Linked DNA regions of Sus scrofa. The protein of the gene in region 6 interacts with the protein of the main gene of each other region in a pairwise test. Links are inferred from orthologs where the notes say so. Each region holds a gene or a part of one and is shown on either strand. Other genes may lie near its edges. The genes, in order: RIBC2, GOLGA2, KIAA0408, SMARCB1, SH3YL1, GFAP and PDZK1.

The links.
Region 1: the proteins of GFAP (region 6) and RIBC2 interact in a two-hybrid assay, tested with the Homo sapiens proteins (2 studies listed by BioGRID and IntAct). The two-hybrid records come from large-scale screens. The link is inferred for Sus scrofa from reciprocal best matches to the Homo sapiens genes GFAP and RIBC2.
Region 2: the proteins of GFAP (region 6) and GOLGA2 interact in binary tests that used the Homo sapiens proteins (3 or more experiments, as listed by UniProt). The two-hybrid records come from large-scale screens. The link is inferred for Sus scrofa from reciprocal best matches to the Homo sapiens genes GFAP and GOLGA2.
Region 3: the proteins of GFAP (region 6) and KIAA0408 interact in binary tests that used the Homo sapiens proteins (3 or more experiments, as listed by UniProt). The link is inferred for Sus scrofa from reciprocal best matches to the Homo sapiens genes GFAP and KIAA0408.
Region 4: the proteins of GFAP (region 6) and SMARCB1 interact in binary tests that used the Homo sapiens proteins (3 or more experiments, as listed by UniProt). The link is inferred for Sus scrofa from reciprocal best matches to the Homo sapiens genes GFAP and SMARCB1.
Region 5: the proteins of GFAP (region 6) and SH3YL1 interact in binary tests that used the Homo sapiens proteins (3 or more experiments, as listed by UniProt). The two-hybrid records come from large-scale screens. The link is inferred for Sus scrofa from reciprocal best matches to the Homo sapiens genes GFAP and SH3YL1.
Region 7: the proteins of GFAP (region 6) and PDZK1 interact in binary tests that used the Homo sapiens proteins (3 or more experiments, as listed by UniProt). The link is inferred for Sus scrofa from reciprocal best matches to the Homo sapiens genes GFAP and PDZK1.

Annotation. Positions count from the first base shown.
Region 1 is NC_010447.5:3,973,225-3,977,211, forward strand, and holds the start of RIBC2 (RIB43A-like with coiled-coils protein 2), read right to left. Parts: upstream 2,801-3,987; 5' UTR 2,591-2,800; coding exon 2,477-2,590; intron 1,688-2,476; coding exon 1,606-1,687; intron 1-1,605. Other genes in the region: SMC1B (structural maintenance of chromosomes protein 1B), read left to right, coding at 2,933-3,041. UniProt on the Homo sapiens protein: Microtubule inner protein (MIP) part of the dynein-decorated doublet microtubules (DMTs) in cilia axoneme, which is required for motile cilia beating.
Region 2 is NC_010443.5:268,710,156-268,713,655, forward strand, and holds part of GOLGA2 (golgin subfamily A member 2), read right to left. Parts: intron 3,195-3,500; coding exon 3,135-3,194; intron 2,941-3,134; coding exon 2,860-2,940; intron 2,059-2,859; coding exon 2,020-2,058; intron 1,779-2,019; coding exon 1,716-1,778; intron 1,627-1,715; coding exon 1,533-1,626; intron 1,433-1,532; coding exon 1,326-1,432; intron 30-1,325; coding exon 1-29. UniProt on the Homo sapiens protein: Peripheral membrane component of the cis-Golgi stack that acts as a membrane skeleton that maintains the structure of the Golgi apparatus, and as a vesicle thether that facilitates vesicle fusion to the Golgi membrane.
Region 3 is NC_010443.5:35,766,560-35,770,059, reverse strand, and holds part of KIAA0408 (uncharacterized protein KIAA0408 homolog), read right to left. Parts: intron 3,165-3,500; coding exon 2,805-3,164; intron 2,718-2,804; coding exon 2,638-2,717; intron 324-2,637; coding exon 1-323.
Region 4 is NC_010456.5:49,892,544-49,896,043, forward strand, and holds part of SMARCB1 (SWI/SNF-related matrix-associated actin-dependent regulator of chromatin subfamily B member 1), read right to left. Parts: intron 1,373-3,500; coding exon 1,245-1,372; intron 1-1,244.
Region 5 is NC_010445.4:132,708,836-132,712,335, reverse strand, and holds part of SH3YL1 (SH3 domain-containing YSC84-like protein 1), read right to left. Parts: intron 1,918-3,500; coding exon 1,805-1,917; intron 937-1,804; coding exon 808-936; intron 1-807.
Region 6 is NC_010454.4:18,462,781-18,466,280, reverse strand, and holds part of GFAP (glial fibrillary acidic protein), read right to left. Parts: intron 2,372-3,500; coding exon 2,286-2,371; intron 1,291-2,285; coding exon 1,249-1,290; 3' UTR 1-1,248.
Region 7 is NC_010446.5:99,642,085-99,645,584, reverse strand, and holds part of PDZK1 (Na(+)/H(+) exchange regulatory cofactor NHE-RF3), read right to left. Parts: intron 3,430-3,500; 5' UTR 3,423-3,429; coding exon 3,213-3,422; intron 2,442-3,212; coding exon 2,195-2,441; intron 51-2,194; coding exon 1-50. UniProt on the Homo sapiens protein: A scaffold protein that connects plasma membrane proteins and regulatory components, regulating their surface expression in epithelial cells apical domains.

The DNA.
Region 1 (3,987 bases), on a different chromosome or scaffold from region 6:
AATTCATATAACAAAACACTATAAAGCAATTAAAATGAATATTCTGTATGTAGATCACTGATTAATTCCAAAATAGACCATTGAATTTTTTAAATGTTGCAAAAGGATATATCCAGGGAGTTCCCTTCGTGGCTCAGCGGTTAACGAACCCAGCTAGGATCCATGTGGATGTGGGTTCGATCCCTGGCCTCGCTCAATGGGTTAAGGATCTGGCATTGCTGTGAGCTGTGGTGCAGGCTGAAGACGTGGCTCGGATGTGAGGTGGCTGTGGCAAAGGCAGGCAGCTGCAGCTCCAATTCCTAGCCTGGGAATTTCCATATGCTGGGAGTGAGGCCCTAAAAGCAAAAAAAAAAAAAAAGTATTCTTAACGTAAGATATCTAAAGCCAGGTTGGCAAAATGTTAACATCTAATCGGTGGTGGGTATGTATTACGTCTGTTATATCATTTTTCTAAGTTTGAATTACTTTTAAACTAGATTTTTTTTTTTTTGTCATTTTCTTGGGCTGCTCCTGCGGCATATGGAGGTTCCCAGGCTAGGGGTCGAATTGGAGCTGTAGCCGCCAGCCTACGCCAGAGCCACAGCAATGTGGGATCTGAGCTGTGTCTGCAACCTACACCATAGCTCACGGCAACGCCGGATCGTTAACCCACTGAGCAAGGTCAGGGATCGAACCTGCAACCTCATGGTTCCTAGTCGGATTCGTTAACCACTGAGCCATGACAGGAACTCCCTAAACTAGAATTTTAAAAGATGAAAGGTTTAGAAAATATGAAACATTATAAAGAAAATAAGCTTCACTCATCATGCCATCACTCCAATTTTACCACTGCTAACATGTTGGTATATTTCCTTTCTGTGTTTTTCTAAGTATATTTTTACATTTTTTAAAAGTTATATATATATATTTAAATTTAGTTGATAACTTTTGTATATACAATTTTATATGCTTTTTTCTATTTAAAAAATCCTTGGAGTTCCCTGGTGGCTCAGCAGGTTAAGGATCCAGCATTGCCACTGCCGTGGCTCATGGCTCAGATCACTGCTGTAGTGGCATGGGTTTGATCCCTGGCTCGGGAACTTCCACATGCTGAGGCTTGGCCAAAAAAAAAAAAAAAAAAAAAAATCCTTATGATGCTTTAAAAGTAGCTGTTGGACATGATGGGAGAAAGGAATTTTATTTGAGAATTTGATCTAAGAGCTCAAATACTATTATTTGGACCATATCTGGTTCTGAGTCAGCTCAGGGGTGTGAGCTCAGGGGTGTGTGTTGTCTAGTGCAAGCAGCCATCCCCAGTAGAAGGTCTTGAATTTTCTGGCCAGGAAACATGTGCGTTTAAGATTTTTCATACTCAGTTTTTTAAGGAAACAGAGAAAAACATACATCTATCCTCATAATATATTTCCTACAGCTCACAGAGAATTCAATAGCTGATTTTCTTTTAAGTGATGGAGAATCAGCACATTAACTCAAGCACAAGAAATTGTGACATTTTAAAAGGAGGAAGAGCTTGAAAACAAATTTGTACATATGTGAGGAAATAAGGTGAGGGGTCTAAAGGGTGACAGCCCTGAACCACTAAGTGGCCATGCAGGGGACACTCACCAAATGTTTCCTGTCTAGCTTTTTCCGTTGCTTCTCTTATCTTCTGGTCACAAACCTGTACGTTCCAGGCATCTATGTCTCCCTGGGAAAGGAAAACCAAGGGAGAGAAGTATAGCCGGATAATTTTATTCAGTTAATAACTCTCCTACTTATCTTTTTAGATCAGAACTTTTCATACTCTGATGCTTTTGAAGAAGTTAGTTCTTCAGCCTGTCTTAACTTTCCCCAAAGTTCCTTCTCCCTTTCTTAGTCAATAGATCCTCATTCTCAGAACACTACTTGGGCATCACCTCCTCTGGGAAGCCCTCTCTGATTCCCTCTCCCAGCCTCAACTGGTGCTCCCTGGCACCCTGCGCTCTTTTCCCTGGCAGCCCTGGCTCCACTGCATTGTAACGAGACCATTTACTGCCTGCCTCCTCCACTGGGCTGTGAAGGTCAGGACTGCTTTATTCCTCATCTCCTGGGCCCAGCTCAGGCCTGCCACAAAAGACGAACTCCACTGGCATTTGTCAAATGAATGGAGTGGAAGGAGCTCCTGGCAATAGAGAAAATCTGGCTCAGAGAGAGGAGAACTGTGTCCAGTCTCTTTTTCGGCCACTAAATCCAGCAAGCCCCCTCCCTGCTGCAGGACTCAATTTGCCTGCCTGGCAAGAGATAGGGGGCATTATTCGGTCTGTTCAGGTCTCTCCCATCCTCAGCAAAGTCAGTACATCGAACTATTCTTCCAGGCAAGGCCTGGAGCCGTTTGCAGCTGTTCCTGGATCAAAAGTTTCACTCCAAGGATTTGTCTGCTCTTGCCTCCCGCAGCCCGCCTCTCGCGCCCCTCAGCTGCCCCTGTTGGCCCTTTCCATTCCGGGCTGAAGGGGCTCACCCCAAAGATCCTGTTCCTGGCATTGAAGATCCGTTTCTGCCTGCACAGCTCTGCATGTCTCTTCTTGGCCTGGCCAAAGTCCTCCTCCAGGTCCTTGGGCTGAGCTACCTCCATGACTGCAAAATCGCCCAGAAATTCCAAGAGGTTTTTAAAACATACGAGATAAAAAGAAAAGACGACAAAAATAAAACAAGCTCAAGCTAAGTGAGGCTGTTCCCTAGGAGCCTGGGCCGGTGGGATCCGCGCCTGCTCCAGAGACTTTCAGTCCATTCTTCCTGCCCTTCGACGGGCTTGTGGAGACCGGGTTCCCTCGGAAACGTAAACAACTCCGGTTGCTAAGGAACAGCGCAGCGCTCTCGCGTGTTCTGGCTTTAGTCTCGCGAGACTGCACGAGGCCCTTCCCGCGCTTTTCCCGCCGGCGTGTGAGGACGCCGCTGAGGCGCGGAGGGCGCAGCCATGGGCCATTTGGAGCTGCTGCTTGTGGAGAATTTCAAGTCGTGGCGGGGCCGCCAGGTCATAGGCCCCTTCAGGAGGTTCACCTGCATCATCGGCCCCAACGGCTCCGGTAACTTGGGAGCTGGAAGGCTTCCGGCCGTTCCCGGCGTCCGGGCCGGTTCTCCCGCAGGGGTCGTGAGGGTGGCCTCGCGGCCTGGACTCGGGCGGCTGCTGCCCCGCGGGCCCCGACCACCTCCGCTGCCCGCCCCTCGCCCTCCAGCTCGGGGACCGGGGTCGGGGCGACGGTCAGACTCTGCCCCGGGTTGGGGGGCGGTTGAAGGGGGCGGGGAGCCGGCCCTCGGCCCCCAGCGCCCCCCCCGCAGACCACACCCCCGGGACCCCCCCTCGGCCCCCCCCCGCTCTGCACCGCGACCCCCACCCCGGGGCCCCACCCTGGCCGCTCCTCGCGTCGCCCCCGCTCCCCTGCCCGGCGGTTTCTCCTCCTGCCCTCAGCCCCGTCACCTCTGCTCTCCACCCGCCTCCCTCTGTCCCCCCAAAAAGCGAGTGGGAGCGCGGTCTGGAGGAGGGAATTGGTTCCGGGGAGCCCGAGCCGCCGTGTGGTTCCAAGGAACCGGCACGGCGGTATCGGGACAATGACCACGTTTGTGGAGCTTTTTCCAGACTCGTGGCGCCGCCGTTTTGGTTGAATCCTCACCAGGGTGTATGATCCCCATTTCACAGTTGGGGAAACTGAGGTCCAGAGAGGCCATGTAACTTTTCCCAGGTTGCCCAGGAAGTGGCAGAGCCTGGACTGGAGCTGGGCCTGGCCAGGCTCCCCTCGGCTCTGGGATGGGAGGTAGTGGGGTACTGACCCCCCAGCAGGCAGAGAACGGCCTAAAAGGATGGTTCCCTGGGGAGTATTTTTTTCCCTAAATCTGGAGTCTCCTTTTGGCTCTTTTGGCCCAGATTTCCTTTCTTAATTCGGGAACCATATTTGAGTCAAGAGATAACTTGCCAAGTTCCTGTGGTGGCACAATGGAAACGAATCCAACTAGGAACCATGAGGACGTGGGTTC
Region 2 (3,500 bases), on a different chromosome or scaffold from region 6:
TCTCGCTCTTTGGTTAATTCCTTGTTGTACTGCAAAGGCGGAAGGCTGAGGTCAGGAAAACAGACTAACGGCAGCAACAGTAACTCTCAGCAACGTGTCCTCACCTGGTGTCACACTTTACATGTTTCCAAAGCCCTTCCCAAGTTCACGTTCGCATTCAGTTTTAACAGGAACTCGGGAAGAGTGGAAGAGGTGGGTGGAGGGTCTAACTCCCGGCTGGCTGGCTCCCAGGCCCGGGGCCGGCAGGTAATACCACCAGCTCTATCACCGTTACCGTCACCAGGTCTGAACCTTTTCCAGCACTTTCCCCTTTCAGCCTCATAATCACCGTGGGAGGCGGTTACTATTACTGCCTCCATCATACAGGTGCCCAGCACGGAGTAGCAGAGAGCAAGTGGCTCCCCCAAAATCACCCAGAGCTGGGACCAAGCTTCCAGGTCTGTTGGATTCCTTTGTTCCTTTTTAGGGCCACACTCGTGGCATGTGGAAGTTCCCAGGCTAGGGTCAAATTAGAGTTGCAGCTGCCAGCCTACGCCACAGCCACAGCCAGGTCCGAGCCGCATCTGCAACCTACGCTGCAGCTTGCAGCAATGCCGGATCCTTAACCCACTGAGCGAGGCCAGGGATCGAACCCACATCCTTATGGATACCAGTTGGGTCCTTAACCCGCTGAACCACAACGGGACCTCCCAGGTCTGTCTGATTCTTTAACCACGTTTTCTCCCTGGGGTGGGGGGGTGCATTATGAGGGGGATTGAACTGTATTGTGAGCTTGTGTTCATGGTTTGAGTGGATGGTACCTCTGCAGAGCCCCAAACTCAGAAGGTTCAGAAGTGACAAGTCTCTCAGCCACCCTGTTCCTCCCCACCAGGTTGCTGTGAATCCCTCCCCACATGTCTGAATACATCACACACGCGTGCGTCTCCCCTCTTTAGTTTGGCAACGTACTAAAAATACCGTCATGGACCTTCACAGTCCAAATACCTAGCATGGGGGCCAGGGCCCACAGCCAGGCAAGGGCAGGGCTGGCACTCGGACTCTGAGCTCTGCATCCAGGGCTCACACTAGACAGCACCTCCACTGTGACTGCACTTGCGTGCACGCCCACACACACACACACACACACACACCACACACACACGGGCAACTGGCCCATGGCAACCAACTCATGCCTGGGTTGCTTCTATCAAGCACACGAGTTTAGAGCAGCGGGAAGTGGCCAGTGCCGCCTTCTGGGCAGCAAGTCACCCCATCCTGTGGAAGGGACCTCTGGGCTCACTCGCCCTCCACTACACGTCCGGGGAGGGCTAGGCTGCCGGGCTCACCCTATCGGCCTGCTTCTGCTGCGTGGACACGGCAGACAGCGTCCGCTCCAGCTCGCCCACGCGCTGCCTGGAAGACTGCAGGCGACTAGCCAGATTCTCCGACTCTCCTGAAAGGACGGCGTGAGAGGTGAAGCCCGAGGAAGGACTCCCGCTCCAGGCCGGCCAGCGTGCCCGGCCCAGGGGGTCACAGGGCACCCAGGTTCCCACCTGCTTTTTGCCGGGCTGCCTGCTGGGTGTGAGCCAGGGCGGTCTGCAGTTCCGTCTTCTCAGACACTAGAATCCCGATGGTCTGGATGTGGACCTGTGGGACAAAGGCCGAAAGGGGGGCTTGAGAAGCAGCAAAGTCACGTTTCCCGGAGGCCGCGAGGGAACCCGGCAGGATCCACTCACCTGCAGTTGTTCTCTCAGAGCCCCTTGTTCCTTCGCAAGCTTCTGCTCAAATTCCTTTTTTTCCTGCGGGAAGAGAGGAGAAACAGCTCTCACCTGGAGGAGGTGCCCCCCAGAAAGCCACCACTGGCCCAGGACAGTCTCACCAATGAGAACATATAATCGGGGGTGAGGGAGGGGTGGCGAGGGCCAGGGAGCCCCCCATTTCTCCGGGCTGCGATCAGGCGCGAGGAGAACGGGCCTCTACGTCTCAACCCTCCCCCGAAGCCACCAGCCGTGAGGGGGACAGACACAGAAATCACGTTACTTTTTCCAGTTGATCCAGAGTTTCCTGGTTCTCTTGTTTCTGTGGGGAAGAAGCAAAGGGAGGAGACTGAGGTCGGCCCCCTTTCCCACAATCCTCAGACCAAGGAGGAGGGCTGAGCAGGGGCCGGGGGTGGGCTTCAAAGGAGGAGCTGCTGGGGACACGAAGGGGCCATCGCTTCTCAGCCAAGAGACTCTGGGTCTTGGGAGGTGGGGCTCACAGCTACAGAAGCCAAGGGTCTGAACCTGATTCCCTTGCGAGGACAAGGACATAAGCCTCTCGAGCTGGAGTGTGAGAAGGGAGCGACCACATCCTCCGCCAGCTCGCAGTCTGGGAGGCTGCATCCGCTCAACACGCACATACCACGGGCTGGGGTGTTCTTACCAGCAAGGATATAGGAATGAGAAGGACCTTCAAATCTTTGATTTTTTTTTTTCTTTTTTTTCCAGCTCAAAGGGACCTTGGACGCCCTCTAATTCTACCTCCTAAAGCCCAGGGAGGACAGGTGACTTGTCCAAGGTCAAAGTTGGAGCGAATCAGGGGCTGAAGCCGGGGCTGGGACACCCTTGTCAAGCTAGTGTTACCCACAGAGGCACCAGGCCCAGGGCAAGGGGGGGGAGGACTCAGCAGGGGCGTCTGGAGAACAGAGGAGGCAAAGAGGGCAGCCACAGAGAGAGCCATGCTGCATGCCGCACTCCCGGGTCCCTCTCACTGCAACCTGGGCCCCCGGCACCCCATTCTCCCTCGGTACCAGGGGCCCCCAGCCCCTTTCTTCGGAGCCCCAAGGTGGAACTGGAGCCCCAGATTGGCAGCGTGGAATCGGGGACAACACTGGACTCTTACCAATTCCTCTATCTTGCTACTGAGTTGTTTGTTTGTTAGATTGCTGGAGTCCAGGGCTAGTGATAGTTCGTGGTACCGGCTCTGAGGCGCATGCAGAGAGGAGGAGGAGTTGGAGGAGGGTGGGGGGAGAGGTAGAGAGAGCAATCATTAGGGTCGGGGGGTGTCTGAGCTGTCTCAGCTGGCAGTGGGGAACCTAGCCCCCGCTGTGGGAGGAGGGGGGGGGCGGGAGGTGGCTGACCTGCAGGGTCACGGGGCCACGGTCCAGGCCCACTTACCTCCAGCTTCTTTATGTTAGCAGGAGATGCTAGGCCCTCCCCATTGATATAAGGTGAAGACTAGAAGAGATGAGAGGGCTCACATGGAGACGTTCTCCGTCCCCCTCGAGGCCTAAGCCCTCCGACATCCTGTCTTGCCCATCGACTGGCAGCATTTCCTTTTCTGCCTAAGCTGGTCCCCTTCCCCCTGCTCAAGCCCTCTGTGCCAGCTTCTCTGTGTCCCTCCCTCCCAAGCAGCTCCCATCAGCAGGACAGAACGGTGGAACCAGTCTCATGGTCCAACCCCTTCATCTGTACAGCTACAAAGAGGAGACTCAGGGAAGTAATGATTAGCTAAACATCGTCCAGCCAAGCTGGCCGCTCCCA
Region 3 (3,500 bases), on a different chromosome or scaffold from region 6:
GGGTCACCCAGATGTTGTGGTCTAAACTCTCCTTCAAACTTTCATGGGCTTGTTCAGAATATGAACTGGGAAAATTTCGAGATGTGCTTCTTGGAGGAGGAACTGGTGGAGTTTCATGTCTCTGCAGATCAATTATATCAATTCCACCCTTTTTCTTATAATTGTTTTGGAAAACATCAGTACAGCTAAGGTTCTTTCTGTTTTTTTGTTTTTCTTTTTCAAAATCGGTTGAAGGAATGCATTGGGTGCTGTTGATCATGTGATCTCCATGAGGCATATTAATTACATTTGGGACTTCCTGGAGAAAAGAATCTGACTTCATCCTAAACAATTGTAAAACACGGTATATTAGTGATAACCTCATTTATGATAAGCTCTTAAAAGACACTGTAGCTAAAACAATGGATTGTTATAGGAAAAGGAGTCAAAACTTCCTCAAACATCATTTTTATATAAATCCCCTAGTCCAAAATTTCAAGTCCCTTTTACTGCAAGATAAAGCCTGCCTCTGTGTTGTATTCAAGACTCTACATACATAGTCTGAACTAAAGATATTTTAACTGTGTCACTCATTTTTAAAATTACCTGAAATTTCACCTACCCACAGAGTAGACTGCGTATTGTCTCTTGGGTATCTGCTATTACAGTTGTCATTTCTATAGGTTTTCTTTTTCTTCTTCTTTTTTTTTTTTGCCATTTCTAGGGCCGCTCCAGCGGCATATGGAGGTTCCCAGGCTAGGGGTCTAATCGGAGCTGTAGCTGCCAGCCTACGCCAGAGCCACAGCAACGCGGGATCCGAGCCGCATCTGCAACCTACACCACAGCTCACGGCAACGCCGGGTCCTTAACCCACTGAGCAAGGGCAGGGATCGAACCCGCAACCTCATGGTTCCTAGTCGGATTCGTTAACCACTGCGCCACGACGGGAACTCCACTATAGGTTTTCTTTTGCCATTTCTGTACCTCTGCTTTGCCTACTGAATTCCTATTCATTATGTCTTCTGAGCTCAAGTCCCTCCTCATGAATTTGAAATAACATTATAAGTAGTATTGATAGAAATTTAAATCAAAGCACAAAGAGACATGAGGAACACAACATGGAAAGTGCTATTTGGGCCTGAAAGAAAAGTGACAATTTTTTTTTTTTTTTTTTGATGAGTAAAAGGCATAGAGACAAAGTGAGCTGCAGTGAAAATAGTGTGGCTATTCAAGGAACAGTGAGTACTTTGGATGGAATATGAAACAGAGTGGGAAGGATGATGGAAAATAAGAGAGAAACATAGGTCAAAGTGTAATGACTTTGAATTACATATTAAGGGATTTTGCTTTTTTCTAAAGGCTATGAAGTGACAGAACTTTATACCTAGTAGGGTTTGCAAGATAAAACTGGCAAGCAAGAATTTTTTTTTTTCTTTTCTTTTTTTTTTTTAGGGCTGCACCAGCAGCATATGGGGGTTCCCGGGCTAGGGGTCCAACCAGAGCTGTAGCCGCTGGCCTACACCATTGCCACAGCAATGTGGGATCCGAGCCACATCTGTGGCCTACACCACAGCTCATGGCAATGCCAGATCCTTCATGCACTGAGCAAGGCCAGGGATCAAACCTGCATCCTCATGGATCCTAGTCAGGTTCATTAGCCACTGAGCCACAATGAGAACGCCCCAGAATTTTCTCATTTACTAAAGTCAAAACCTAAGTGTAGCAAAAATGTGGGTTCATAAATTAGTGTTAACTAATTATATTGATAAATACAAATCATATTTATGTCTCTTCAAGTTATAGCTTATAAGAAAGTGCAGATAAATACTCAACAGAGAATAATAGGCAAAGGCTAAATGGGAGAGTGGAAGCAAAATTATGTATAAAACATGGTTGAGTAAGAAAATCTGTTGTAAATCAGTACCAAAATTCTCTCTGAGCTTCCAAAGAGCTAAAGAAAAAGAAGGGTACACGGTCCTGTAGCTTTCTAAGAGAAGTATACTGCCCCACTAGGAGATAAATGTTGATCCTAGAACAGTTCATCTTTTCTTAAATTGTAGAAAATACCAATTTATTTTTCAGCTTGGCTAAAACTTACCCTTTATATAGTTGTTTCTGAACTGCAGCACTTCATAGCACCGCATAAATGTGTGTACATATTTACAATACGTTGTTCTGAAAATATGAAGGCTTACATTATAGACATAATAAATCTAGAGAAATAAATGACTCAAAACATTTCAGCAGAACATCACTATACAATTACAACATCACATGTTAAATTCGACATCGTTTAGAGATGTATTTAACTAGATTAACCCAATATATGCTTCCACGGCCAAATATTCAACATTAAAAAGAACTCCATCAAAGTATACTTGTTAATTTATTATTTATTATTGTGAGCATAACTAAATGAAACACCAAAAAAGTAAAGTGTGCCTCATAGTCAGACTAAAAATTTGCTTTGAGAATTAGTGAACAGAGCCATATACAATTTAAGTTTTTATCTTCTATCTAGGGTAACAGATTTTAATAACATTATGAATTCCCACTAACAAAAGTGTTAGAAGCTAAAGGCGGTTTGGATTCATTAACTGAAAACAACATTCTTCTTGAGTTTTCAACAGAACAATCATCAGAGATGTTCCAGCCTACCTTCTGTGGTGAGACCGCTTTTGTATTTCCTCTTGAAAGCTGCATAATTCTTCACTAACTTTAGCAAGTTCTTCAAGAGCCTTCATAGTAGAAGCAACAACACGTTAGCTCTTTGAAATGTAAATATTTCTTTAGAAACAGTTCTAGGCCAGTCCTGTCTTACTTACTGTGTGGAGGGCTCCAGAACAGCTCTCACTCTCTTCAGAAGCCTTCAGGTCCGGCCAGGTCTCACCTTTCTTTTGGTTGTCTGAGGCCAAAGCATCTATAAACTCTACTTTGGATTTTTTGGTTGCTTTTTGTTCTTTACACATGGGCTGTCTTTCACTGAGTAAGCTCTGCTCCATTTTATCTTTTTTTCCCAGCCCATCCCTGTTATTCACCCCCATCAATTCACATTGTCCTGAACTGGGGTCATTTGGGAAGGATTCCACCATTTTATCCTGAATGGTCTTCTCACGATCGAAATCAGGGATCCTAGCACGCTCACTCATGTTGATTTTCCTTCGAAGCTTTACTTCGTGGCAGAGCTGTAGGGAAAACAAAGATAAAGATTTCCCCCAATCCACTTGGTCAATATTTTTTGATATGAAGCACACTGTTTTCAGTCCTCTTTGCCATATTACTGTGTACCCAGGGGATTAATGCTTATGCTTCCAAACAGTACTTTGAAAATCTGGATTAAGCTGAACAACTTTGGTGAACCATAAAGACTTTTAGTAGGTAAAAGCATGGGTGGTAATTTCTGTCTTCCTGGGTAGAAATCAACTCCTTCAGAAATGACACAAACCTGCATTTATATCTAGATGTCATGATGATATAGAAGCACTGTTAAAGAAATTGGAATGCCCCAAGTCAATGACTGT
Region 4 (3,500 bases), on a different chromosome or scaffold from region 6:
GCACATTTCCTCACCAGGCAGCTCATCCTTTCCAAAGATGCCAACCCCCTGAAGATGTTGCCACATTCCACAGGCACCCCAATCAGCTCCCTCTCAGGTCCTTCTCAGAGAGCTCATCACTGAGAGACACCTTCTACAGGTGAGGCTCAGACTGAAGAGGACGACACAGTGGTTCATTCAGGCTGCCCCACCAGTGCCCTGTACACTGCTAAGCCCTCTGCGTGAGGGTGCTCATGCCCACCAGTAGGTTATTTGAAACTTAAATTAGTACATTAGATAACACTGGTGAGTTTCTCATGATTCTACACTTTTATTCATTTAAAAATTATATTCACTATGTTTTTGTTTGAATATAAATAATATCTTTGTTATAAAAGTCTGTGAAATTCAAGAAAAGAAAAGCAGAAAAGAATAAACCCATGTGTAACCCCCCCCATCCCAGAAGCATCAAGGACTCTAAATGCCTGGGTGGGTGTCTGATCTCGGCTTTCCTTTCTACATCTGCAGAGCCTGGACATGAGAAGTCAGGAGAGTGGGCATCTGACCAGGACTCAAAGGACGAGAAAGGGAACTGGGGCGGGGAGAGAGTAGCCCTACTGACCAAGGAAGTGACAGAGGCTGTGGCATGCACACAAAGTGCTATGAAAGAAGGGAGGACATGTGGGGAGCCGGCCGGCTGAACCCATTTGAGGGGCATCAAGACCCTCGTCACACTCTGTGCACTGGTAGCCTGCATGCCAGGCTCCCCCATGCTCACTGGGGGAGGAAGGACCCAAGGTCACGTGCCCCGCCCATAGGAAACCATGGCAGAAGCAGGATTTGAACCCAGAGTCCACACCTTCCAAATCCATGCCATGATGCTGGGGTTTTTTTTGGATTTTTTTGTTGCTGTTGTTGTTTTTTAAGGGCCACACCCATGGCATATGGAGGTTCAACCTCCAGGCTAGGGGTCAAATCAGAGCTATAGCTGCCAGCCTCTGCTATGGCCACAGCAACACAAGATCCAGAGCCGTGTCTGCAACTTACACCATAGCTCACAGAAATGCTGGATCCTTGACCCACTGAGCAAGGGCAGGGATCGAACCTACATCCTCATGGATGATAATCAGATTTGTTTTCGCTGAGCAACGACGGGAACTACACCATGATGCTTTGAATGCTGTGTTCAGAGTCCAGGGTCCCCTTGATGGGTGGCAGGTGGGAAAGGGACTGTGAGCAAAATGGCCGTGTTGGCCACCACGTACCATTCATGTTCCAAGTGAAGGCATCCCGTAGCTTCTGCCCGTCGATCTCCATGTCCAGCCGGATGGGGACCAGCACCTCGGGCTGGGATGCATTCTCATGGATCACAGCTGGGTCATGGTCGTCAAAGCTAGAAAGGGAGGCAACAGCATGCTCAGCCAGGGTGGCTGGGGTCCCGCACCCTGACCAGGGGGGAAAGCCTGCTTCTTAAAGGGACTTGTCCACTATCAGCAGAGATGGGGCCAGCAGGGGTCCTGGGGCCACAGGGGCAGAGCTCTGACTTGGGCACTGGGACAAAAGATGTGGACACTCTCCACAAGAAGGGAGATTTAAGTACCAAGGCAGGCAGGACTTCCCCAGAAAGCTGTGGAAAAGAAACATGTTTCCAGAGAAGGAAGCACCTGAACAAAGGCCAAGGGGCGGGAGAGCTGAGGGAGTAGCCAGAGCAGCCATGGAGGATGCAGACCAGGCAGGGGAGTGGTACAGGGGTACTGGGAAGCGGCAGGGGTCCAAGCCTTCTGCTTCCATCCCAAGGGAGCTCAGGAGACTGTGAGCCAGGCGGTTGCCTGCTCACACATGGAGACAGGAGGGAAGAGCCAGGCGGGGGATGCACCCAAGGGCATATTCGGAAGACAGAAGGTTCCAGACATGGGTATGAACAAATAAACAAGATAAGGGGAAACACCCCCATGCCAGACACAATGGCCTTGGGAGACATGGTCAGGGGAAGGGGCAGAAAGGACTTTTTTTTTTTTTTTTTTTTTTGGTCTTTTTAGGGCGGCATTAATGGCATATGGTAGTTCCCAGGCTAAGGGTCTAATTGGAGCAGTACTGCCAGCCTACACCACAGCCACAGCAATGCCAGATCTGAGTCACATCTGCGACCTACACCACAGCTCACGGCAACACCGGATCCTTAACCCACTGAGAGAGGCCAAGGTTAAAACCCACGTCCTCATGGATACTCATCGGGTTTATTACTGCTGAGTCACGACAGGAACTCCAGAGTGGCCATTCTAATGGGAGGGCACTCGGAGAAGACATTCAAACACAGATGGGAAGGAAGGAAAAGGTGGGAGGGAGGAAGGTGGGAAGGAGAAGGGAGGTAGGGGTGAGCCTGCAGGTGCTGGCAAGAAGCGAGGCAACCACAAAGGCAGGAGCTCCGGGGTGGCCTTGGAGCGCTGAGAAGGCCTGAGGCGGGGAAGGCAGTGGGTGGCAGAAGATGGGGCCAGAGAGGGGCGGCCACCACCTGGACTCTGGCCTGCTGACATCAGTGTGATGGGCATCTGGAGGACCCACCCTGGCTGATGGGGAGCTGGCCAGGGATGGTCAGATTCTGGATACTCAGAAGGCTGGGCATGCAGAATCTACTGAGACTGGCTCTGTGGTGTGAGAAGGAGGAAGGGTTGCAGGGTTTGGGCCCGAGGACAGCGAGGGTGGGACTGCCGTGTCCCGGGATGCAGGCGGTGCATGTGGGGGTGCCCAGGGCCGGTTAGGGGAGAGCTCAGGGGATGGGAGCTTGCAAAAAGGCCTCCTGAAGACATCTAGGTCCTAAGTCTTAGAACCTGATTGTTTCCTTGTAGAGCAAATAAAAGGGCGGGGCTTACATTAGTGATTAAGAATCTTGAGAGAAGATTATCCAAAGGGGCCCTAAATTACATCACAAGTGTTCTTACAATAAACGGGGAAATCTCTCTCAGAGACACACACACACACACACACACACACACACACGGCAGGGGGGAGGGGGGGAAGGCCACATGACTATGTGGCCACTGAAGAGACTGGAGTGAGGCAGCCACCAGAACAAGGAAAGTGCCTGCCAGAAGTTAGACCAGCTCCCAGAGGGAGAAGGGCCAAGTGAAGGTCCTGGGATCCAAAACCCTGAGAATAAACTTAGGGGTTTTTTGGGAGGGGGGTACTGTTGGTTTGCTTGTTTGTTTTTGGCCCAGTGTGCAGCAGCTTGATGTGGGATCTCAGTTCCTAGACCAAGGACTGAATCCAGGCCATAGCAATGAAAGTGCCGAGTCCTAACCACTAGACCACCAGGAAGCTCCCAGACTTGTGTTGTTTTAAGCCACCAGTTTGTGGCATTTTGTGCCAGGAGCCACAGGCAGCTCACACAGTGAGTCACATGGACAGCATTTGAACCTGGCAGAGGAAAAGTCCGGGGACTGGGCCCAGAAACACTGCCCGAGGAGCTGGGGGTGAGGTCGAGCCAGGCTGGGCCACATGGGGCCCAGCCGTGCTGGAGGCTG
Region 5 (3,500 bases), on a different chromosome or scaffold from region 6:
GAACTTTATGTTACCCAGACGGCTTCTTCGCTTGACCTCGGGAACCAGCCTGCCAGCTTCCAGGTTCTTTCTGCAGCTTCCTCCCCCGTCAGCCTTCGCAGCCCTGAACAGTGGGGCTCTGGCCTAAGGGAATGTGGGGCCGATGTGATCTCTCCAGACACTCCAAGTCCCTCCATGCCGCTCAAACGGTTGTTTCTTCGCATTCATGTCTTCCCCGGAGCAGCCCTTTTCCTTCCCCCCAAGACCTCTGCTCTGCGTGCACAGCTTGGCTCCCGTTTTGCACAAAAGGCTTCATGCTCAGCCTGTCTCAGCTTTGATCCGCCTTCCTCACTAAGCTCAGGCACTTCGAGCTTTTGATTAGAAATAAGAGATGTGGAGCCCTTCCTTCCACGTGGACACGTGGAGGTCTTTGCAGAGTGATACATTTCGATACCGCTGTGTCTCAGGGGATGGGGCTGCCTGAGCAGAGGGGAGGGAGCAGACCGCACACACCCGGCGATGGGCGAGGTTCTCCGTCCCATGCAGATGCAGTTCCTGGTGCCCAAACAAGCACAACAGTAACATCAAAGGTCACCGATCACAGATCACTCCAGCAGATATAATAATGAAAAATGTCAAAACATTGCAAGAGTTATCAAAAGGTGATGGAGACACACCAAGTGAGCAAAGGCTGCTGGAAAAATAGTGCCGACAGACTTGCCTGCACCGAGGCCCTCTGTACCCTCCTAAGAGCATATGAATTTATGAAGTAGTATGTTCTCATCACACACTCCTCAAATCAATTAAAATTATTTGCCTGGCACTTACTTTCGATTAGTTTCTTTCCGCTCGATCAAACAGCTACCTTCTAAAGATATGCCAGCAAAGAGGCCTCGTGATTTGCAATATGTAAAGACAGCAGCTGAGCTTCTTAGGGAGACGTTGCCTTCTAAATTCCTGCAAAATGGAAGGTTTTGCATCACAGGACTGTGGGCTCCAGCTAAAGGTGACTGCTTGACTAGACAGTACTCTAACCCCAAAGGACAGTCTTGCTCTGCACTCACTACAGTTGTTTTGACATGTCTTTCTTCCTGCTGGCCCAAGCTAGGTGTGCTCAAAGTCACCTAGAGGAAGGGCAGTTCACCGCCGGGACATAAGATGTCACAGAGGGCGTGATGCATTGCAGAGACCTTGTGTGAATTTCCTATTTTCAAGTCGTGTCTTCCTTTCCTGAGACAGGGAAACGTATCTCAAGAGTGAAAGACTGCCGTTCCTTTCACAGTGAGTATCTTCATGGAACGCAGAACATTTTTGAATGATTCTACTGTGTCACTTCCATAAACAGTCTGGGTTTAAAATACCTAATTGCTCAAGTCATTCAAGACTGTTACTCATTAATAATAATCAGGAAAATACACTGCGAGTATCGTGGACATCACTCCAGTGAAACACTTCAATTTTTCACAATTCAGATTGAAAAAAAAAAGGTTTCCTTCTTGATCAATGCTGCCCTTTCTCAGTTAAAACGGATTTGACTCGGCTCCTTCAGAGCTTACACAGGCATAGGTTATGTGCCGTTCCAGCAGATACACAGCCTGTATTTCTGAAATACTTCATTTCTTTCTGCGTGTGCTAGTTTCAGATGATCTCATTTTATTATACTTGGTTGTGTTTTATAAATTTCTTATTTGAAAGCAACCTCAAACTCCCTGGAAGATATATACATCATAACTATGCCTCATTCTAATTTTTCTCAATGTGACACAATGCAGTTTTGAGCCCTCACTGTCCAGTAGCTGCTCACCAAGGGCCCGAGAGCACTCACCTCCCCAAGGGCCCTACTGCCACGGTGCAGTTCCCGCCGAGCGTTAGGTTGCCACCTTTCGCAAAAGCTTCCACTGCTCTGCCATAATTCAGAATTATTACCAAGTCTGACACCTGGAATGTAGAGAACCATTTATTTTTAAATAATTTTGTCTAAATATGATTTAAAACACATGTTGATTAAAACTTGAATATGCTATATATAATGTGGCGAGCATTTCAATCTAGTCAGAGAAAGACTATGAGAGGAGAGTCTTATCTTTTTTCAGGTGAGGATGTGAGCAGCTAACATTCCCACAGGTAATCGGAGGCCGTCACCCCGCAGCGAGCAGGGGCACCTGCTTTATCTCCTCCCCAACCTGCGATGGAGGTGGCGGTGAGCACGGCCTAGTGACGTTAAGTGAACTGTCCCAGTGCCAACCAGAACGGGTCCAACACAGGAAGGTGGGAAAGAGCAAAAGCCCCCTCAAACAGTGCCCTTCGAAAAAGCCAAGCCAAAGAACGCAGAGGGCGGCCAGAGGCGGGGGCGCTCCCATGGGCACCCACGTCCCGGCCAGTCCACCTCCACCCCCCGGGGAGCTGCGCACTAATTTTAGGTCACATTCCAACTATCGGGAAGAAGACTAGTTACCATTCGTTATGCCTGCTACCAAGAATGATTTCTCCAAGTTAGAGCAAAACTAGAATGAGTTCATGCTCTTGGCAGGTGCCCATGGAGAAAGCATTTTCTTCAAAGTCATTGCGCTGTGACAGGACCGCCAGAGGAGAGGCAGCCTGGCCAGGTTCTGGGGCGACAGAGGCGAGAGTGTCAACCCAGCTCTCTTGCCAGCACGGGGTGACCCGGGGTCTGTGGCTGCCTTTGGCCCCCTGCCTTCTCACAGCTAAAGCCTACAAGGAGACTGGCCCCCGTGAACCTCCGTGAGGGTCAGGCCCCCGTGGCAGTGCCTGGAGAATGCTAGGCTGGGAAGCTGGGCTCAAAATCCAAACCATACCCAACTTCCAAAATCATCTGGGTGTGAATTCTACTTCTGCCTCTTGAATATTGTGTGACCTTGGGCCAATGACTGAGCAGCTCAAAAGCCTCAGTTTCTTTCTCTGTAAAATGGGTATAATAATAGTAACCACCTTTATAAATAAATATGTATTTGTATACGTATATGCAGCATTTATATCATTCTTTTTTTTGGGGGGGGGTCTTGTGTCTTTTTAGGGCCGCACCCACAGCATATGGAGGTTCCCAGGTTAGGGGTGGAATCGGAGCTGCAGCTGCCGGCCTACACCACAGCCATAGTCACGCCAGATCCGAGGTGCATCTGTGACCGACACCACGACTCACAGCAAAGCCGGACCCTTAACCCACTGAGCGAGGGCAGAGATCCAACCCACAACATCACGGTTCCTAGTCGGATTCGTTTTCATGGCGCCACGACGGGAACTCCATTCTTTATCATTTTTAAAGTGTTTTCAAATTGATGTTTTTTCATCTGACAGAAGAATCTAATTATTACCAAAAGTGATTGTACTTGGAAGGGCCCAGTGGAATTTCTGACACAGTTTAATTTGAATCATTTCATGAAAAAGTACACTCAAGTTCCATAGGACAGACTAAAAATGCCAGTTAACTGACCCATGCGAAACATTTCACTGTGACTCATGTCAACTGCTATTTCCATTTTATACATGGAATATTTCTAAGG
Region 6 (3,500 bases):
CAGTGTCTTCACTCTGCCTGGGTCTTGGTTTCTCAAGCTATAAAATAGGATGCTACCTAAAACACAGGGGGGACATTTCGTATTTAACTAACAGGGGACTAGAGGGGCCTTGGCTTAGGGAAGGGCAGTGGTCACTGTGGGGAGCAGAGGGTCAGCCGTGTAGCAAAGGCTTCTCCTGTAGTATGTGCTAGAGTCAGGTGGTGGCAGCTGCAGGGGCTCACAGACCTGGGTGGGCAGGGGTTATGCAACAAGGAAAAGGACAAAGAACCGGGATAAAGTGGGCCCTGCCCCTACAAGCAGCAGTCTCTCTCTCTCCTGTTTCACCATCTTCAAGAGGATGAGTCACTTTCTTGAGTCCCACGACCCAGAGGCCAAGTGCATTTGCTTGCCCACAGCCTCCAACTCTGATGTCAAACATTATCCCAACTGCCTCCCCCCCCTTCTCTACCTGCCCCCCTCCAGCCTGTATGCGGGGAGTCCTCCTGGGCTTGACCTCTCTGTACCCACGCCTAGGAGCCAGGGCCCCCTCTACTCCCTCCCAGCACCCCTTCCCTCTCCACTTACACTGTAGTTCCCCCAAGTGCTGAGAACCAAGCTCCCGTGTGCCCACTGCATGCCCACATGGCAGCTCAGTGGGGCTGAGACACTTGAACCATCACTCAGGAGCCCCCTCTGTGATCTGGGCAGGCCAGGCATTCTGGTGGCAGGATAGCCCCACCCACCCTCAGACTGGTCAGGGTCAGTCTAGAAGAATAAGCCTCTGGCCAGGGCCTCCTTGCCTGTGGGGACCTCCCCTTCCTGCCTCAGAGTCTCTGTTTTCCTCCAGCAGCCTGAGGAAACTCAAAGGCCCAGTTCCCAGATACCCCCAGACACCTCCGGCTCTGGCAACAGTTGCCATGACAACAGGGATTCAGGAGATGGAGGGTGATTTATTAGGTCTCCCTGCTCTCCCCAACTTCTTTGCTCCCTCTCAGTTCTAACTCAAGCTGCTGGCCAGACCCCTTCAGGCTGCCGCCTGGGTTGAGTGTCCTGTTAGAGTTGCTGGGAGTGGGGGTGAGTGCTACCTGGCAGGCTTAATGCTGATGGCGCCTAGAGCAGCAAGCCGGCATAGATGGAGGGGGAAGAGGAGCAGCTGGGGGGGGTGGGAACGCGAGTCTGGGAAAATGAGCTAGCAGGAGGAGTGACTACCCCGACTCCTGCTGCAGGCCCCTCAGAGTGCAGGGCAGGGACTACCCGGTGTGTCCTGCCTCACACCACATCCTTGTGCTCCTGCTTGGACTCCTTAATGACCTGCAGGGGACAGAGAAGGTGCCACAGTTAGAAGCCCATACAGACTCCAGCTCCACCATGGCTAGGCTATGTGACTTTGGGCAAGTCCCCAGCCTCCATTTAAAAGGAGTCGCCATTGTGGCTCAGTGATTAACGAACCCACAAGCAACCACGAGGATGCAGGTTCGATCCCTGGCCTATCTCAGTGGGTTAAGGATCTGGCGTTGCCATGAGCCGTGTAGGTTGCAGACGCAGCTTGGATCCCATGTTGCTATGGCCGTGGGGTAAGCTGGTGGCTGTAGCACCAATTCAACCCCTAGCCTAGGAACCTCCATATGCCGAGGGTGTGGCCCTAAAAGGACAAAAAAATAAAAATGTTTTTTTTTTGCCTGGCCCATGGCATGTGGAAATTCCTGGGCCAGGGATCGAACCCATGCCACAGCAGTGACCTGAGCCACTGCAATGCCAGCACTGGATCCTTAACCCTCTGTACCATAAGGGAACTCCTTGGGGCCACAGGAACACCCCTGTGCAGGAGTCAGAGGGGCAATGAGGTAACACCAGTGAGTCTCTAGCACTGTGCCTGGCACGTGGTGAGCTGCTGTGAGATTAGCTACTGCTATTGCTGGTGTGATGGGGAGGGAGTTGTGTCCAATCCCCTCTTCCCATTCTTCTGGCAGGTTCCTTTCCCCAAGCAGGAAGTTGAAAATTGGGAGTGAAATCTGCTAACTTTAATTTTCTTTCTCTCCCTACCCCCAAGCCTGGCATGGGGGCACCTGGGTCTGAGGGTGAGAAAGGGAGAAAGCCAGAGTCGGGACCCCACCCGGTGACCTCGGCACCCAGGCTCCCTTTCGAACTTCCAGTGGAGGACCTGGGGAATTGAATTACATGCAGGTTCCTTCCCCTCTTCCAGAGCCTCCCCGGGGAGCCGCTGTGAGTTATTGAGCACCTATGTGCCAGTCCAGGCTTTCTTCCGGAGCCTGCTGGGGCCAGAATCTCGAGTCTGCCCTCCTCACCTCTCCATCCCGCATCTCCACAGTCTTCACCACGATGTTCCTTTTGAGGTGGCCTTCTGACACGGACTTGGTGTCCAGGCTGGTTTCTGCAGGCGTGAGGAAAGGAGGTCTCCGTGGGCTCTCAGGGCACTAGACATCCTCCCCCACCTCCGTTTCCCCATGAAACCCCCAACCATGAGTGCAAAAGCCTATCCAACCAGGCAGAGAGGGCCTGGGCATTTCCAAAGGGGCTGGCAATCTCCTAAGCCCCCACTGTGACATGCACGTACTGGCTGCTCTGTCCAGTGCCCTGTTCCATCCCTGGCCTGGCTGCATTTCAGCCCCTCTGTAAGCCCTTGCCTGGCCTGTGCCTGCCTGTTAACCTAGCGCTGTGCCAAGGAAGGAGCACGTGGGCCTTGAAGTCAGGCGGGCCAGGTCTCAAGTCTCAGCTCAGCCACATGACTGTGGGCAAGTTAGTTTACCTCTTTCAGCCTCAGTTTCCGCATCTGCAAAATGGGGATACTGGTTTCTACTTCTCTAGATGAGACTGAGGAGTCAGTTAACAACAGGCACATATTAGGGCTTGATACACATGGGTCCCTTTCCTGTCCCTCTTTCCCCTTTCCTACTTCTCTCTGCCATTTCTCTGGGCCCTAGTGACCCTTTTCTGTCTGGCTTTTGACAGTACTGCCTCTACCTGGTCTAGCTGGTTAATCCTTCTGATGTTGAACTAAGCCCTGGGACATGCATAGCTAGTGTTTGTAAATTTCTTGCCCAGAAGGAAAAAGACTTTTCTTTCCTTAGCTAAGAATCATTTGAAGGCCACATACAAGGAAGAAGTAATTTAGTTTTTACCCCCTTCAATGAGAAAAATATAACATGTCACATTCACTAATATTTAAAATTAAGAGCAGGGAGAAATTCCTGTTGTGGCTCAGCAGTAACGAATCTGACTAGGATACATGAGGTTGTGGGTTTGATCTCTGGCCTCGATCAGTGGGTTAAGGATCTGGCGTTGCTGTGAGCTGTGGTGTAGGTCGCAGACTTGACTCCAATCATGCATTGCTGTGGCTGTGGCATAGGCTGGCAGCTGTAGCACCAATTTGACCCCTAGCCTGGGAACTTCTCTATGCCATGGATGCAGGCCTAAAAGCAAAAATAAAATTAAATTAAATTAAGAGCAGGGAACATAAAGCTTTATTCACTCCAAGAGCAGCAGTCCAGGGAGAAATAATC
Region 7 (3,500 bases), on a different chromosome or scaffold from region 6:
CATAGCCACACCTTGAGGCTTTATATCAGTCATGTACACTCCCTTTTTATCTGAAAGAGAGTAGGAGGTAGACAAGCATCACAGCTCATTACACAGAAAGACCAACAGCAAAGGGTTTTCTCTCAATAAGATAAAGTTAGAACTTCGCATTTTAGAGCTAACTCAAAGAGCCTCTGGCTTCTGATCCAGAATTAAATTACAGCTCCTAGCACAAAGCTTGACACAGCCATTACTCAGTTAGGTTTTGTTGATTTGAACAGAATTTCTGGCTGTGATCATATAGTGGTTAGCACTTTATGTTGTGAATAAAATTTCTGAGCCCAATGAAATGCAAAGAAGAAATCTCAGGTGGCACTGGCCGCTTGAACCGGAAGGTACCCAATCATGCCTGTGCTGCATCACCACATCATACTCCCTGTCTTTGCATCTGTAGAATTAGAAGGCCTCTGCTCTATTCTGTCCTCTTTAGTTAATGCTGTCCCCAACGGTCACATCCCAATAGGTGATTAAATCTCACTGATACAGGCTAGAGAGGACAGAGGCCCAGGAGGAGAGGGCAGTATACACACACACACACACACACAGTCTTGAGTAGGTGGGGTGATTTAGGAGCTTCTTAAAGAAATGCTGTCAATTCTTTCAAGATACTACCATTTCAGCCTAGGCAAAGGGTAGCTTCATAACGACTAGAAAAATCATTTGTAAAGAAAAACAGTAGCTTAAATTCTGCTTCCTTAAACACTTAAACATTTCTCCTGCTACTGTGTTATATATTTGTCATAAAGAAAACAACTTCTCCATAAGCTAAGCTAAACCATTCACCACATACATTATACAAAGCCCAAATGAATAGAATCTGAATTAGAAAATTTTTTTCCATTTTACTGATAACCTCTAAGAAATGCCAGGCTTCCCTTGGCCACCTTCATCACTGTGTTGTAATAACTAACAAACTTGAGAAATACTTCTTATGGCTAGTTTATATGTCTCGCCACAGGTTAAATAAGCCTGCCTTAGAAATTATTTTATGTTTATTACTGGTCTGCTCTTTATAACTTACCAAATTATGACCCACTACCAGTGCCTCTCCAACACCAGAAAGAACGGAGAATGAACAGCATTAGAGATAGAATCAAAAGGCTAACACAGCTATGGTTGCAACCTAAACCCCAGTGAAACCATTAGAAAACTATGGTCAACTGAGCAGGGGTCAGCCTGCACCTCTGAAATTCTAGGAACAGAATTTCTAGTACTTTCTAAAAGGTTGGAGTTTTTCAAATCACTATATACCTCTCAGCTAAAGGTCAGGGAGGCACCTCAGAACTTGGCCACAGCTGAGGGTACTATGTAAATGCCACAGACAGGAGGGTGGGGGTTTTTTCAGTGCCCTCGGCAACTATAACAGTGTCCAATAACACAAATAGGTGTTCAACAATTTTTGAATGAGGAGCTCCCATTGTTGCTCACCAGAAAAGAACCCTACTCGTATCCATGAAGGTGTGGGTTTAATCCCTGGCCTCACTCCCTGGATTGCCATGAGCTGTGGTGTAGGTCCCAGATGTGGCTCAGATCTGGCATTGCCATGGCTGTGGCGTAGGCCAGTAGGTACAGCTCCCATTTAACCTTTAGCCTGGGAACTTACATATGCCACACCTGTGGCCCTTAAAAAAAAAAAAAAAAAAAAAAAAAAGGATCTTTGGAAAGACATAGCATACAGTAGAAAGTGACAGAACACTGTAAATCAACTATAATGGAAAAAATAAAAATCATAAAAAAATAAAATTTTCAAAAAAAAAGAGATAGTATTCTTATTCAGAAGTAGCTATTGTGAACAACCTCCTTTTCCTTGCCTGTTATTCTCTATCCTCCCCTCCACCTTCACTCTAAGGAAGCTGGAAAATAACAAAGGTTCACCAAGGGTTCCTCTGGCCTCAAATGCTCAGCCTAACAAACACTGGGGACAGGTGTACCCAGCATCCCCCCTAGCCCCCTCCCACTCACACAATACTGCTGTCCAACATTCTGATTCCTCTTTGCACAACTGTGCAAAGCATAGGAAGGGCCAGGGAAGGAAGGAGAGAAGCTGCTGTTGGATATCCATAGCAACTTGAAAAATTAGTCAAAGGAGTCGTTAACAGATAACAATATCTTTCTTCTGGAAAGCTGGTTGTCCATGCCTCACCCTCAGGCTCACCTTGGACAGTTTTCAGAGAAAAGCCATAGCTACTCCCCTCCTTCACCAGGTAGCAGAGCCGTGGCTGGGTCCAAGTCTGTGCTCCTCCATTCATCACAGAAGGTAGTTTCTTATCATTCAAACTCGACTCCTGACTTTGACCCAACTCTTTCAAATCTACTTGCTTTTTCATGGCTTTCTCATAGGAATCCCCATCCAGAACTAGTAAAGTCACTGAATTCCCACTCTTTCTGACCAGATCCACAACCTAGGAGGAAAAAAGGAAAAAGATAACTTTAACCAATAACCCTCTATCAATCACTGAAGGGTGGTGACTGGGGGGAGTGCTCACTATCTGGCTTGTTATATGGCTCTGGAGATTCCACTGGCTGACCCCTGACATCCAAATAGTTAGCGGAGTGCCCCAGCCATCTCTGCCCAGGCCCTCCCGAGATGCAGGTACACATGAAGCCGGGCCTCTAGCAATATTGTAACCAAGAGTGTAGCCCAAACCCAGCCCGGGGGACTTTTACTAGGACTGCTCCTTTCTAGGGATGGATGATTCCCTAGAGCACAACAGGTCTTCCAGGGTCTATGGAGACCGCATTCTATCATGAAAAGAGGCACCCACTCAGAGGCAGAGAGAACTGGGGTACGGCCAGACCCTCCCATATGTTCATTGCATGAACACAAGCTAAGTTATCTGAGCCTCTACCTCCTCATCTGTGAAATGGTAATATGTACCCCATGAGTTGGGATGAGGATTGAACAAAATAATGAATATGAAATTGCCTAGCATAGTTCCTGGCCTATAGCAAAATTGCAATACATATGAGACTTGACACTATTCAAATCTAAAAACAAGTTTTACAGTTCATGGTTAATTGTAGGAGACTCAATTTAGCTGGCAGAATACAGCCCTAAGGGTGCCCTGCCTTGCGAGTGGCAGCCAAGAAAGCTCCATTGACCCCCAAAACTATAGTCAGCAAAGAAGCAGGGGCTGAAGAGATTCCAAAAGAACCCCAAGTTTCCCATTTACCTGCATATGCTCTTTCTTGTCCACAAAGACACCATTGATCCTGAGAACTCTGTCTCCATCCTGCAGACCCGCCTTCTCTGCTGGGCTACCCTTCTCAACCACCCGGACCAGGTGGCCATCAGTGTCCTTCTCAATTCGCAGGAAGAAGCCATAGCTCTGCCCTTCCTGTTTAGACAGGTTACATTCTCGGGGCTTGAAGGAGGAAGCCATTTCTGTGCTGAAAAACAAACAGGCAAATCCATGGGAAAGAACATCAAATTGTGTTGATCTGTCCTCTATCTCCTAGAA